2 linked regions of the Stegostoma tigrinum genome follow. The protein of the gene in region 1 purifies or fractionates together with the protein of each later gene. This does not show direct contact. Links are inferred from orthologs where the notes say so. Each region holds a gene or a part of one and is shown in the gene's direction. Other genes may lie near its edges.

What was found.
Region 2: the proteins of cct4 (region 1) and wdr5 purify together in Homo sapiens (affinity purification with mass spectrometry; 3 studies listed by BioGRID and IntAct, with this or other methods). This does not show direct contact. The link is inferred for Stegostoma tigrinum from reciprocal best matches to the Homo sapiens genes CCT4 and WDR5.

The regions. Positions count from the first base shown.
Region 1 is NC_081362.1:831,018-838,238, reverse strand, and holds the start of cct4 (T-complex protein 1 subunit delta), read left to right. Parts: upstream 1-4,217; 5' UTR 4,218-4,338; coding exon 4,339-4,447; intron 4,448-4,880; coding exon 4,881-4,933; intron 4,934-7,221. UniProt on the Homo sapiens protein: Component of the chaperonin-containing T-complex (TRiC), a molecular chaperone complex that assists the folding of actin, tubulin and other proteins upon ATP hydrolysis.
Region 2 is NC_081382.1:45,448,711-45,456,407, reverse strand, and holds the start of wdr5 (WD repeat-containing protein 5), read left to right. Parts: upstream 1-4,697; 5' UTR 4,698-4,814; exon of another isoform or gene 4,815-6,129; intron 6,130-7,697. Other genes in the region: putative uncharacterized protein BRD3OS, read left to right, coding at 3,115-3,453.

The DNA.
Region 1 (7,221 bases):
TTAATGGAGAGAGTGTAAGATAAGATTGGAAAGTACAATCAAGCCTGGGGAAGTGACAGTGGGAGTGATTGAAAGAGTGTCTGTTCCAGGAATACAGTTTGTTTTTGGAAATGACCAAACAGAATCAAAGGTGGGAGTGACACCCCTTGTAGTGGAGAAGCCGAAGGAAAACCAGGGAACTGAGGAGTTAAAAGAAAAATACTCTGGAATTTTTCCAGATTATGTGGTAACAAGATCCCACAGTCATAAGTTACAGCAAGGAAGAAACACCAAAGAGAGAGACAAAGGAGTTGAAGTCTACCTGAACAGGCAGAGGATCAGGCAGAGGTCAGAGATGATGGGAACTGCAGATGCTGGAGAATCCAAGATAATAAAATGTGGAGCTGGATGAACACAGCAGGCTAAGCAGCATCTCAGCAGCACAAAAGCTGACATTTCGGGCCAAGACCCTTCATCAGATGTAGGATCTGGCAGAGGTGTTTAGTTCTGAAAGATTAATGGAGTTACAACAAAAGGATGAGACAATAAATGTTTATATTATAAAGCCTACTCTGAAAAGGAATCAGAACGTATTCCCAAATTTTATTATCTTAAGAATAGAATTTTAAGGCAAAAATGGAGACCATGGCAGGTTAGTGCAGAGGAGAAATGGATGGAAGTGCACTGGATTGTTTTGCCAGTCGTATAGAAACAGGAAGTATTGTTGGTAGCATGTGAGTTACCTGTAGGAAATTATCTAGGAGTGAGGAAGACTCAGACTAAGATATAAAAGCATTTCTATTGGCCTGGATTACATAAGAATGTGGTTGAATTTGCCGAACCTGTCATGTGTCAATTGGTGGGAAAGCCACAGTCAGTAATAAAACCAGTGCCTTTGATGTCAATTCCCACATTTGAAGAACCTTTCCTACAGGTTATAATTGATTGTGTAGGTCCCCTCCCTGAAACCAAAAGTGGAAATCAGTATTTGCTAATGATACTAGGTGTGTCTACCAGATTTCCAGAGGCAATTCCATTTCAGAAAGTTAACACAGAAAAGCTCGTGGAGATTTGCTTGCTTTCTTTTCCCACTATGGATTACCCAGGGAGATTCAGTCAGACCAAGGGTCTAATTTTACTGCCAAACTATTTAAGAATGTCATGGATAGTTTAGGCATCCAACACTTTAAATCAAGTGTGTACCATCCTGAATCCAGGGACCATTGCAAAGGTGACATCAGACCCTAAAGACCACGCTGAAGGATTATTGCCAAGATTACCCAAATGATTGGGATATGATATCCTAATTATAGTGCTTGCCATTAGAGATGCCCCAGATGAGTAGACACAGTTTATACAATTTGAATTGATATTCGGACACGAACTAAGACTGTCTTTAAAATTAATTAAAAGAAAGTTAATAGGTCTGAAGTCAGAGATCTTACAGTTGGATTATGTCTCTGAGGTGAGAGAAAGAGTAAACAGAGTAGGTAAATCAGCTGTACAACATCTGAAGGTGATACAGCATCTAATGAAGCAAGAAGTAGATAAGAAATCTAAAATTTTTACATTTGTCTTGGGGATAAAGATCACATAGTACATTTGGCAGAAAAACTATGGCATGCAAAACTGGTTATAAATTTAGCAAAAGCTGAATTTGTGAAGGCAGAAGACATTCTTGGGACGCAACATCGGACATGGGAAGATAACCCTGAGGAATGTGAAGATGAAGGCTATCAAGAAATTTTCAAGACCATCCTGGAATAAAGAGGTGCTTCAATTTCTGGGACTGAGTAGATGCTATTGGAGGTTTGTATCAAACTTCAGTAGCGTAGAGGTACTGCTGGCAGATTTGCCAAAGAAGAACATGAAATTTTGTTGGATAAAACAATGCCAGGAGGCATTTAAGAATTTAAAACCCGTGTTAACCATTGCATCAGTTTTACACACACCAAATTTCTTGAAACCCTTTGAAGTTGCGATGTAGGGGTTGGAACTGTGTTAATGCAAGAGCAGGATGGCAGAAATGAAAGGCCAACTGTTATTTTTTAAAGAAACTCAACATCCACCAGACAAAACTCTCCATCATTGAAAGAGAGATACTGAGTTTGGTGCTGGCCTTAGAGCATTTTAATGTTTATGTACAAAAAATGTTTCAGAGATGGCTGTGTAGGACATCAATACGAAACTATTTCATTGGTGTCTTATGTTACAGGCTTTTAATTTACAGATTATACATTACACATGGTAAAAATGTTATTGCAGATGTGTTATCACGTGATTAAAACAAAGTGTGTAGAAAAGATAAAAACCAGTATTGTCCAATGTTAAATGTGTATGTAGAATTAGTATGAAGGGTGTAACTTTAGATTATTGACCTATGTATCTTGTGATAATGGTGTTAAAGTTTAAAAGGAAATGGGCCACCTCTTCATAATTTTTTTTCCCAAAGTGGGGAGGTATTATGAAGTTGTGCAGAGATGATGTTTAAGAGATAAAGTGCTCTTCTAAGCTTAGAGATGTATACAGGAAAATAATGATCTGTGTGTAGCTGATAATATACAGAGAGTTCTAAAATTGTAACATACATCAATTGGCTGTGTGACTGGAAACCTTGGGCTTGGTTTGATGTTTTGGCAACAAGCTGGAATCAGCCAATTCATTTAAACCCAGTACTTAGAGATTGAAAATTGAATTTAAATCTGACAGCTTTGGCAACCTCAGACCAATGCTATTGTAAGAAAATTAATATGTCATCCAAGGTATATAAGGAGCGAGTTTTTGAAAATTGGGTGAGAACAAACCACCGTCTGAGGGCTAAGCATCTAGCACTCACAGAAATCGTTAAGCTCTCTGAGAAAGCACTACCCATCCATAAAGGGTACCATGGCACTTCTAGCTGAAAGTCTTCACAGAAAAACACACAGAGAAAACATCTCTGTCAGAAGGATCAGCAGAAGAAAGGCTTTAATGACTTAAGACCAGCAGAAGAAAGGCAATTATGATTGGACAGGCAGTGGAGAAGGCAGAGCATTTCAAAGTCTACATTCTGTTTAGACTTTGAGAGACTAAGTTTTAATTTGTATTTTTCTCTTACTGCTTGGGTCATATACATGGGACTTGTGTTTCTTGGAATAGTATACTAGGAGAATTGTGCTCAGTTTGAGAATAGTTAGGTGTTAGACTTGAATTGTTTGGTTTGTTCGTAGTTCTGATAATTTGTTCACTGTTATGGTTAAATAAATAAATAGTTACTCGTGACTTATAAAATGAATATCAGGGATTTTCTTTCATTTAATCTCCCCTTCTCTGTAGCAAGTTCATCTCATCCATGCTGACCAGACATCCCAAACTGACCTTGTCCCATTTGCCAGCATTTGGTTCATTTCCCTCTTCATATTCATATACCAACCTGATACCTTTTCAATGTTGTGATTGTACCTGCCTCCCCAACTTCCTGACAACTTGTCCACACAAGCACCACACTCTACGTGAAAAAGTTAGCCGTCAGGCCAACTCTGACATTTAGTTTGTACTCATTGGAGAATGGAAGAGAAGACATTATTGCTATATGTAAGGTTCTTAGGTGATTGACAGGAAAGATGCAGTGTTACTTCCAGTTGTGGGAGCATACTCTCAGAATAAGGAATTCACCAGTTAAGAAGAGATGAGGAGTAATTTCTTTAATGATGGATCATGATTTACTAAGTGGTCTTCATAGGGTTATGCTTTTTGAAGCAGGATTTACTGTAATTTCTCTCCACAGATGTTGCCACACCTATAGAACTGTAGAACTCCTACAGTGGGGAAACAGGCCATTCGGCCCAACAGGTGCACACTGACCAAGCCTCCAAAGAGCATCCCACCCATCCCCAGTCCTCCACCACATCCCTGTAACCTTGCATTTCCCATGGCTAACACACCTCGCTTGCACATCCCTAACTGGACTCTGATTGTTTTTCTTCACATATACTGCCATTCCTGCTGAGGTTTTCCGGTAACTTCAGTTTTTGTTGGAATGAACCAAATTGCTGTGATTCTGGAATCAGATATTGGCCCTTCTTCCAGAACATTACTGAGGTAGATCCATGTGGCGGCTCGAACCCAGATCGTGATTTCCCCTTATGTTTATTTTTAACCTTTTCACTGAATATCCCAGATTTTATTCTTGAGACGAAGCTCCTCAGGAATTCCCGCCCGGCTTATGCACGGACAGCCGCTTATGTCAGTGGGGCGGGGTTTGGGTCCTCTCCGTTTCTGGAACTTTCTCCGCCTTGGAGAACGCCGGTTTGCCTCGCTGCAATCCGTTGCCATCCGGCCCCATTGAGCCGCCGTCTGGTCCCATCCCCGCTCTAAGCGATGCCCGAGAAAAGCGGTAGTAAAGGCCCGAACGGCGCGGCCAGGGGAGTTTATCAGGACCGTGAGAAACCGGCTCAGATCCGCTTCAGCAATATCTCCGCCGCCAAAGGTGGGGCCGAGTGGGGATATGAGCCAGCGGCGGAAAAACAGCAGGGGAATATCGGAGAAACCCGGGGATGGATGAAGGGGAGCGGGGGGGGGGGGGGGGGGTGGACGGTGGGGGGGGGGGGGGGGGTGGACCTACTGGGGTCTGCCGAGCCACCGAGACAAAGTTTGTTTGTCGGGCTGGGGTTGGGGAAATGGGCCGCGTAACCGGGGTGCGGGGAACATGTTCAGGATCTGGAGGAATATGTACAGACCGTTTAGTGTAAAAGTGATGGCTGGCTATCCCAACATCGACGATTCACCCACCCCCAGGGTAAATTTAATGTATGCCCCACAGATACAGATACAGATACCCTCCGCTCAGCAGATTTTCATCCATGTGAATTTTAAAAAACTCAAATCAATACTTTTTTTTAAAAAAAATGTTTATCTTTCAGCTGTTGCAGATGCCATACGGACAAGTCTTGGCCCAAAAGGCATGGATAAGATGGTACATGTTTTGTGCTCTTGTTTGTTTCTCTTTCACATATCGAATCTGTTTTGGCTTTTTTCAAGCAGCATTTAGGTTAATGCTTAGTACTTGGCATAATAAAATTTCCATAAGTAATCAATCTAACGTTTGCTTTCATAAATTATTGCATATCTGCAGTTTACCCAGGCTTTTACTTACTTTTTGCCTCATAATTAAGGCATAACACCATGTGGAGCTGGAGGAACACAGCAGACCAGGCAGCATCAGACGAGCAGAAACGTCAGCTTTCCTGGTCCCATGATGCTGCCTGGCCTGCTGTGTTCCTCCACCTCCACACTGTTATCTCTGACTTCAGCAGTTCTTACTGTCTCTGTCATTTAATTAAGATTGATTTCAAAAGTAGACATAAGACAGCAAAATGTGAACATTGCTGTAAAAAGATTTTGAAGTTTTTGTCTTGTGCTCATCAGGACAACTTGCAAGAATACTAACATAAGGGGGGAAAAGAACACTTTACTGTACGAGAGGAGAGTGCTGATTATAGTCCACAGATATGTCTTTGTGAAGAATACACCAGTTCCCATGACTGATAATTGTCTTGCTTTTAAACCAGACAGAGTCGTAGTCCTAGAGATATACAGCATGGGAAACAAACCTTCAGTCCAACATGTCCATGCCGACCAGATATTCGAAAGTTGTGTTATCCACTTAACTTTCCAGACTCCTCCCTCCAAAGAACTAACATTTACTTAAACAAACCTTTGCCTTTTCTTCATATCTTGAAGCTTTTGCTATTTGTTTTTGTATTTTACTGTGGTTTTCCTTTGTAGCTTATTGTTATGACATTTTAGTAACCCTTTTGATCTTTAAACATTTCCCAGCCTTTTAGCCTACCACTGGCCTTTACAGTATAATATGCTGCTGTTTTTAATCTTAGTGTTATCTTCACTTTCCTTGCTTAGCCATGGATGTTTTTTCCTTCTCGTGCAATCCTTGTTCTTTTGGACCATAAGAAATAGGAGTGGGAGTAGATTGTTTGCTTCTTTGAGCTTGTTCAGTTATTCAGCAGAATCATGGTTGATCTAACAATCCTCAAGTACATATCTTCAACTCCAAGGGGAAAAATATCTCCTCACTTCAGTTTTAAATTTGTATCCTTAACATTTAATCTGTCAAGTCCCTTAAGAATCCTATGTGTTCAAATGAGATCATGAACTCCAGTACGTTCCAAACATTTTAACCGCTGCTCATGAGACAGTCCCTCCATAGTGGTGGTCATCTTGGTGAGTCTTTCTCTGAACTGACTCCAATGAAATAATAGCTTTTTTAAGGGGATCCAAACTGCTCGCAATACTCTAGATGTGGTCTCACCAGCACCTTGTACATTTGCAGTAAAATTTCTTTACTCTTCTACTCTGACTGCCTTGAAATAAGGGCCAGCATTCCATTAGCCTTCCTAATCGCCTGCATCTGTGCTAGCTTTTTGCTTCATGCCCAAGTACCCCACGTCACTTTATGTTGCAGATTTTTGCAGCTCTTCTCCATATAATTAATACTCTTCTTTAGCTTCCCCTCTAAAATGAGCTTCATGTTTTCCCAAATTATACTCTTGCCAACATTTTGCCTACATACTTAACCTGTAAATATCTGTCAACTGCTCGTATCCCTCTCACTGCCTGTGTCTCCACCTATTTTTATCTTCAAATTTGGCTGCAGGTACATTTGCATTCTTCCTCTTAAGTCACCAATATATATCATAAACAGTTTCAGTCCCAATAATGATCTCTGTAGAATCCCATTGGTCATGGGTCCCCAACCTGAAAAAGCACCCATATCTCCGCTGTCACTTTCTTGCCCCTAAGCCAATTTTCCTGTCCATGCCAACATACTCTCGAACATGGGCTGTTACAGTTTAACCTTTGTGAAATCCCTTGTCAAGCACCTTGTGGAAATCCAAATACATCACGTTTACCGATCCTGTGTATTCACTCTGGTTCAGACTTCCTCTAAAAACTTAAAATTAATCTGACAGGATATCCTTTTCATGAAGCCATGCTAATATTGCTTGATTAAATTGATTTTCCAAATGTTCTGCTCTAACTTCCTTAATTGATTAAAATACTCTTCCAATGATAAGTGGAAAATATTTTATTTGGAAGGAATTGTGTGCCTCCTTAAACATCTGCCAATGCTTATCAACTGTCCTACTTCTTTGTCTTTCCACCAGTCCACTCAAACCAGATTTGTCTTCGTGCCTACGTAATTACTTTTATTCAATTCCAGAATGCTAGTGTGGGATTCCTCAG
Region 2 (7,697 bases), on another chromosome or scaffold:
CTTCCTACAGACTAAGGGGGTGGCCATGGGCACCCGCATGGGCCCCAGCTATGCCTGCCTCTTTGTAGGTTACGTGGAACAGTCCCTCTTCCGCACCTACACAGGCCCCAAACCCCACCTCTTCCTCCGGTACATTGATGACTGTATCGGCGCCGCCTCTTGCTCCCCAGAGGAGCTCGAACAGTTCATCCACTTCACCAACACCTTCCACCCCAACCTTCAGTTCACCTGGGCAATCTCCAGCACATCCCTCACCTTCCTGGACCTCTCAGTCTCCATCTCAGGCAACCAGCTTGTAACTGATGTCCATTTCAAGCCCACCGACTCCCACAGCTACCTAGAATACACCTCCTCCCACCCACTCTCCTGCAAAAATTCCATCCCCTATTCCCAATTCCTCCGCCTCCGCCGCATCTGCTCCCACGATAAGACATTCCACTCCCGCACATCCCAGATGTCCAAGTTCTTTAAGGACCGCAACTTTCCCCCCACAGTGATCGAGAACGCCCTTGACCGCGTCTGCCGTATTTCCCGCAACACATCCCTCACACCCCGCCCCCGCCACAACCGCCCCAAGAGGATCCCCCTCGTTCTCACACACCACCCTACCAACCTCCGGATACAACGCATTATCCTCCGACACTTCCGCCATTTACAATCCGACCCCACCACCCAAGACATTTTTCCATCCCCTCCCCTGTCAGCTTTCCGGAGAGACCACTCTCTCCGTGACTCCCTCGTTCGCTCCACACTGCCCTCCAACCCCACCACACCCGGCACCTTCCCCTGCAACCGCAGGAAATGCTACACCTGTCCCCACACCTCCTCCCTCACCCCCATCCCAGGCCCCAAGATGACATTCCACATCAAGCAGAGGTTCACCTGCACATCTGCCAATGTGGTATACTGCATCCACTGTACCCGGTGCGGCTTCCTCTACATTGGGGAAACCAAGCGGAGGCTTGGGGACCGCTTTGCAGAATACCTCCGCTCAGTTCGCAACAAACAACTGCACCTCCCAGTCGCAAACCATTTCCACTCCCCCTCCCATTCTTTAGATGACATGTCCATCATGGGCCTCCTGCAGTGCCACAATGATGCCACCCGAAGGTTGCAGGAACAGCAACTCACCTGGGAACCCTGCAGCCATATGGTATCAATGTGGACTTCACCAGTTTCAAAATCTCCCCTTCCCCTACTGCATCCCTAAACCAGCCCAGTTCGTCCCCTCCCCCCACTGCACCACACAACCAGCCCAGCTCTTCCCCCCCACCCACTGCATCCCAAAACCAGTCCAACCTGTCTCTGCCTCCCTAACCTGTTCTTCCTCTCACCCATCCCTTCCTCCTACCCCAAGCCGCACCCCCAGCTACCTACTAACCTCATCCCACCTCCTTGACCTGTCCGTCTTCCCTGGACTGACCTATCCCCTCCCTACCTCCCCACCTACACCCTCTCCACCAATCTTCTTTACTCTCCATCTTCGGTCCGCCTCCCCCTCTCTCCCTATTTATTCCAGTTCCCTCTCCCCATCCCCCTCTCTGATGAAGGGTCTAGGCCCGAAACGTCAGCTTTTGTGCTCCTGAGATGCTGCTTGGCCTGCTGTGTTCATCCAGCCTCACATTTTATTATCTTGGAATTCTCCAGCATCTGCAGTTCCCATTATCTCTGCTCTATTGGTAGCTTAGCCAAATGCTTTGCCTCCATGTATATACTTATTTTTGGTCACTATGCAGTCCCACTCTGTGGAGAGAAAGCAGTTAACGTTTCAGATCCAGTCACTCATGTCCAGAACTGATTGTACCTAGGGAAAGATTGGTATATATGCTGAAGATGGGGTGTGGGAAGAAGGGAGGAGTAAACAATAGGTGGAGATGGAGCCCAGAGAGACGCAAAAACAGTTGGGCAGATAACGGAGGTAAAGGTCAGTGTGGGAGAATGAATAGCTAATAAGGGGGGCCATTAATGGCTGACCGTGGTTTGGTTTGTATCATGAAAAGGCCTGGTGTATGGGAGTTGGGGTAAGAACATGGGAGAGATGCTCAAGCCCCAAAATTGTTCAACTCAGTACTTTTACCATGCATTTATTATTTATTTGCAGATAGATCTCCATTTGATATGGGTCATGTGAATGTGTTTTTTTTGGCTTCAGTTTACTCACAATTCCTTTTGTCATGCCCAGGCTCACGATTGTTTGCCGTAATTTCCTCTTTCTGAAAGTCTAAGTAACCTATTATCCTGGAACAATTTTACTGGGTCAGCCAGTCTGTGATTTTGGTCTTGCTGAGTCAGTTGATTCTCACCTCGTTGAAATTGGCTATCCTGGAATTATGTCTATTCTGAATGTTCCCTGTTCTTTTCTACCATCACCTTACGATTTTATGAAAAGTTGGGGCAGGTAGGTTCAATCAGGCATTCAAGAAGGTGTTTGTTTACTATTTAAATGGGGTAATGGGGAAAGGGCAGGAGAATGGCACAAAGTCATGAAGCTTGTTTGCTGAGTGTTGGAGACACAATGTTTTATTACCTCCTTTCTGCGCCATAACAATCTGTTACCTTCAAATTTCCTGATCCTTTCGGTTCTCATCCTCCTGATCCAGACCCAGCTCTGCCTCCCTCCTCATCAAGGCGAACTGATCCGGAAACTTCCATCACTTTTAGAAATTATCGCCAGTCTCTGCCCCTCACACTATTACTGCCCCGGTCGATATTCTGGACAATCGTGTTGTCTCCTTTTGTCATTTTCCTGCGAATTTGTCCCGCAGTTTTAAGACAGCTCGACTGTCTCTGGTAATTTTAGGCGCAATCTAAATGCAGTTCGCTCCGAATGGAATGAAGAGCTGCGAGTGTGGGGGAAATCTGAGACAAAAACACGAATTGCTGGAGAGGCTCAGCGGGTCTGGCAGCATCTCTGCAGAGAGAGAGGTTAACGATTCGAGCCCAGTGACCCCCTTCCTCAGAACCGTTATTGGGCCGCCGTTGTTGTCAGGGGCGGGAAGCCGGTTGCCATGGTTTCCCGGGGGGGGCGGGAAGCCGGTTGCCATGGTTTCCCGGGGGGCGGGGCCGAGGGAGCTATGCCTTCCCTCGGATGGATGTCCCGTCCGGGCCTGAGGGATGAATGGGGCCGGCTCCAGGTCCGGGTCCCCCGCCTCCCGCGGGCGGACGCTGCTGGCCGAGAAGGCCGTGTCTGAAAGCTACGCCCGGCTCCGGTACCGAGACACTTCGCTCCTGATCTGGAGGCAGCAGCAGTTACAGCTGGAGCGGCGGACACTGGGCTCAGGCCCGGGCCCCGGACCCGACAGCTTCCTGGGCCGCAGCCACAGCATGTGGTACCGGCAGTTCGGCAATCAGCCTATCCTGGTCCGGGACAGGAACAAACTAAGCCCGGGGTCCTGCCCCGGCACAGGCCCGGTTCCAAATCCAGGCCGTTCCCGTATTTGCTCATTAATGTGAACTGGATCCGGATTCAGGACAAAACCGGGACAGAGTAGCAAACCCAGTAACAACTGGAGAAGCCATTCCAGTCAGTACCGGAACAACTACTGAAGATCACAGTGGGTCAGGCAGCATCCATGGAGTGAGAGCAACCTAACTTTTCGAGTCCAAATTTCAAGGCTGGAGTAACACCAACTATCATTAGCGGCTGCAGTATTTATGACCGACAGTAGCTCTGCAACCAGATTAACACCAAGACGACACATCTGGACCAATATGGGAAATGACAGTGTACATCCGTAGTATTTACAGATTTTCCTGGATTAATACCTCGCATAAATCTGTTTGGAGACGGGATCTATGCAGATTATCACTCTCTGTATTCATCCTCCCTGCAATAGTGTTGTTATTTATAAACTGATTTTATTTATGGATCAATGCCTGAGCTGGAATAGCTGGGTGTTTCAGACTGTGCATAAGAACAAATCCGTAGTAGAAACCCATCTGGGAGAATCAGAACTGGATTATGAGATTGACCCATTTTCCAGATGTGGGCTGGCCACTCAGGTGATGAGATTACATTGCGCTGTAGAGAATAAACTGTGTAAAAAAAGTGATAGAAGTTTTGTGTTAGAGTGGAATTACAGTATTCAAAGCCATTCTAATTGTGTTAACATTACTCCCTACTGAGCAAGGCTTGTTTTTAATTGACAATTTTATTCATACAGCACTTTTCACTGACATACCCCTCACAAATATTTTGTGCTGTGAATGATTTCCAGCTTCTTGAGCATGTGATTTTTTTAAAAAAATAATTCCACCAAATAGCTTCGGCTGCTTGTGCTCTGGGTTGAAACCTTTGTCTCTGCAGCTCTCTGTCCCTCCTTTAAGCAACTTATAACCTACCTAATAACTTAACATGCTCTATCAAATTTGATTTATTATCGTCAAATATACCTAGGTGCAGTGAAAAGTGATAACACAGTATGGAGCTGGAAAAATACAGAACATTTTCTGGAGAAAGGTCCCAACCTGAAACGTCAGTTTTCCTGCTCCTCTGATGCTGCCTGGCCTGTGTTCCCCCAGCTCCACATGGTGTTATCTTTGGCTCCAGCATCGGCAGTTCTTACTATCTCTTCAGTGAAAAGCTCTGTTTTTGTGTATCTGTTACAGGAAAGATGTTGCAAAACTTGAAAGGGTGTTACGTGTATGGAATGAGCTGCCAGAGGACATGGTAGAGGCTGGTACAATTACAAAATTCAAAAGGCATCTAAATGGGTATATGGATAAGAAGGATTTAGAGGAAAATGGGCCAAGGTTATTTTCGGATATCTGGTCGGCCTGAAGTTGATTGCATACTGTACACCTGAGTACAAGCAGTAAGTACATATGAAGTTCATAAGTTGATAGAACAAAATGAGCAATACAATGTTAAAACTGCAGAGGAGCACAAAAAGTGAGATCAACATTAAATTTGTGACATCCCTTCAAAAGTCTAATAACAGCAGGGAAGAAGCTGCTGTTGAACCTGATGTTACACATGTTTAAGCTTTTGTACATTCTGCCTGACAGAAAAGGTTAGAAGAAATTATAGCCAGGCTGGAGGGATCTTTGACGTTGGCTACCTTTCCAAAGCAACAAGAAGTGTAAATGGAGTATATGATGTTCCTATGAAGCACATGATTTTTTTTTGCTATGACTAGGTGCTGTACAAATGTATATTGGAGTTTCTGTTGGAATGCAGTTCTTTTTGTGACAACCTTTTTCTCCCAGCACTACCGTAAACCCAGGATTGTGCATGTTGGATAATATTTAGCTGATTCTGGGAGCTTAATGTCAGCAGGTGACATCCAATAGGCTTAAGGGTGACAATACAGCATTGTTTATTTACAGCATAGATACAAGTTGTCTCATCTCCACCAATGTTTCTGCTTCCCCTATGCTTCGTCCCACTCCTGTTCATTTAGATTAACCTTTTATTTATTTCTCCCTTATGTGTTTATCTACCTTGGCCTTGTATACATCTTATTCATTACAATGACTCCCTGCAATAGTGAATCACATTCTCTCTGGGTGGAGAGGTTTCTCCTGAATTCCCTTTTGGAATTATTAGTGATAGTCTTATATCAATGATCTCTGTTTCTGGTCAACCTGAAGTAGAAAAATCTTGAAGTCTAAGATGCTGAAGATACAAAACAAAAACAAAAATTGCTGGAGAAATTTGGCAGGTTTGGAGTATTTGTGGATGGAAAGCAGAGTTAATGTTTTGAGTCCTGTGCTGTGAAGAAGATTCTGAAGAAAGGTCATTTGACTCAAAATATTTAACCTTGAAGTCTACTCTCTTGACTCCCTTGGTAAAACAATCACAGAATTATTGATTTTACGATCCTTACCAATGGTACTGTGACTACAGGACAGATAGCTGAATTTGAGGAGGCAGTTTTCATGTCACTAGACTAATGCTCTGAGGACCTGTGTTCAATCCCAGCATGGCAGATGGTTATAAACAGAATTCAGTAAAAATCCGGAATAAAAAAACAGTCTAAAGGTGACTGTCAATTGTTTCAGAAATCCATCTGGTTCAGTAATGCCTTTAAGGATGGAAATCTAGTGTCCTTACTACTCTGTCCGACATGGCCAGACTCTCAGCAATCTCTTAATTACCCTCTGGGCAATAAATGGTGGCTTACTCAATGATGTCAGAATTCCATGAATTAATTAAAAAAGAAAAAGGGTCAGGCTGGGTACAAGAACTGTAGACTGTGAGACTACTTGACGCTGGGTACAAGAACTGTAGACTGTGAGACTACTTGACGCTGGGTACAAGAACTGTAGACTGTGAGACTACTTGGCCCATTATGCTTGTGGCAGCCTTGTTCGTTATACCTTGTTCTGCTCATCAAGCCTTTTTACATGTTTATCTTTCATATGGAAAGTTATCGTGCTTTCTACTGCAACATTTTTTTCTGATGTGGTATCCCATGAGATAACAGTTCCTGTGTAAAAAGACATTCTGATCTCTTGATTGTGATATTTTGCGCTATCTGGCTCCCTGGAGCTTTTCTTTACCAGTTTCTCTTTCAAAAAGCTTCAATAATTCTGAGCCACTCCAACCCACACACAGGCAGATAACTTCAACTTCTTGGGTCAAACAGTAAGAGTGCCAGCAAATAAAACTCCTGATTGTATAAATCCCAATAACTCTCTGTAGAGTCTTGCTATCCTTCTTACTATGACCTCTTCTAAAATCTGTACACATTGGACACTTTCTCTTTTCATTTGTAATTAGGAATGATTAGATTAGATTCAGTTCCCTACAGTGTGGAAACAGGCCCTTCAGCTCAACAAGTCCACACCGCCCTTTGAAGCATTCCACCCAGACCCATTCCCCTATAACCCACACACCCCTGAACACTACCGACAATTTAGCACGGCTGATCCACCTAGCTTGCACATCTTTGGACTGTGGGAGGAAACCGGAGCACCCAGACGAAACCCACGCAAACACAGGGAGAATGTGGAAACTCCACACAGACGGTCGCCCGAGGCTGGAACTGAACCCGAGTCCTGGCGCTGTGAGGCTGCAGTGCTAACCACTGAGCCACCGTGTCTTGATGAATAGGCATCCAAATGTATGAGGCCTGGAAATGAAATGGCTACTCCAGAACACTATCTATTCTGACTAGTAAACACCAAATGACACATTTATCTGCACTTGGCCCACAACCTACTGTGCCCTGGTATTTTAAGATCTCATTTAGATGCCCCTTAAATGTTGCAAGTACCTGCCTCCACCATCCAATTAGGTAGCACATCCATATTTTCCACACCCCTTACATGAAAAACATTTTTCTCATATCTTCTAAACCACTTTTACGCCCTCTGGTCTTAGACGCATCTGCCAAGGGGAAAAAGATTCTCATGATCTATCCAGTTTATGCCTCTCAAGTTTTTCGTTCCTCAATCGGACCTCCCCTCAGCCTTCTCAGCTCCGTGGAAAACAAACCTAGCCTATCCAGTCTCTCATAACTGAGATTTTTCATCACAGGCAACATCCTGGTGAAATGCCTCTAAACCTTCTCCGGCACAATCACATTCTTCCAATAATGTGGTGAACAGAACTGCACACACAACTGTAGCCTAACCCTTGTTTTTGTAAATATTCACAATTACATCAAGCTTGAGGCATCACAGGGATGATACTCTTCTGTACACAGCACCTAAGCCCTGTCCTGACTTGCTATTCCACCTTCACTTCCTTT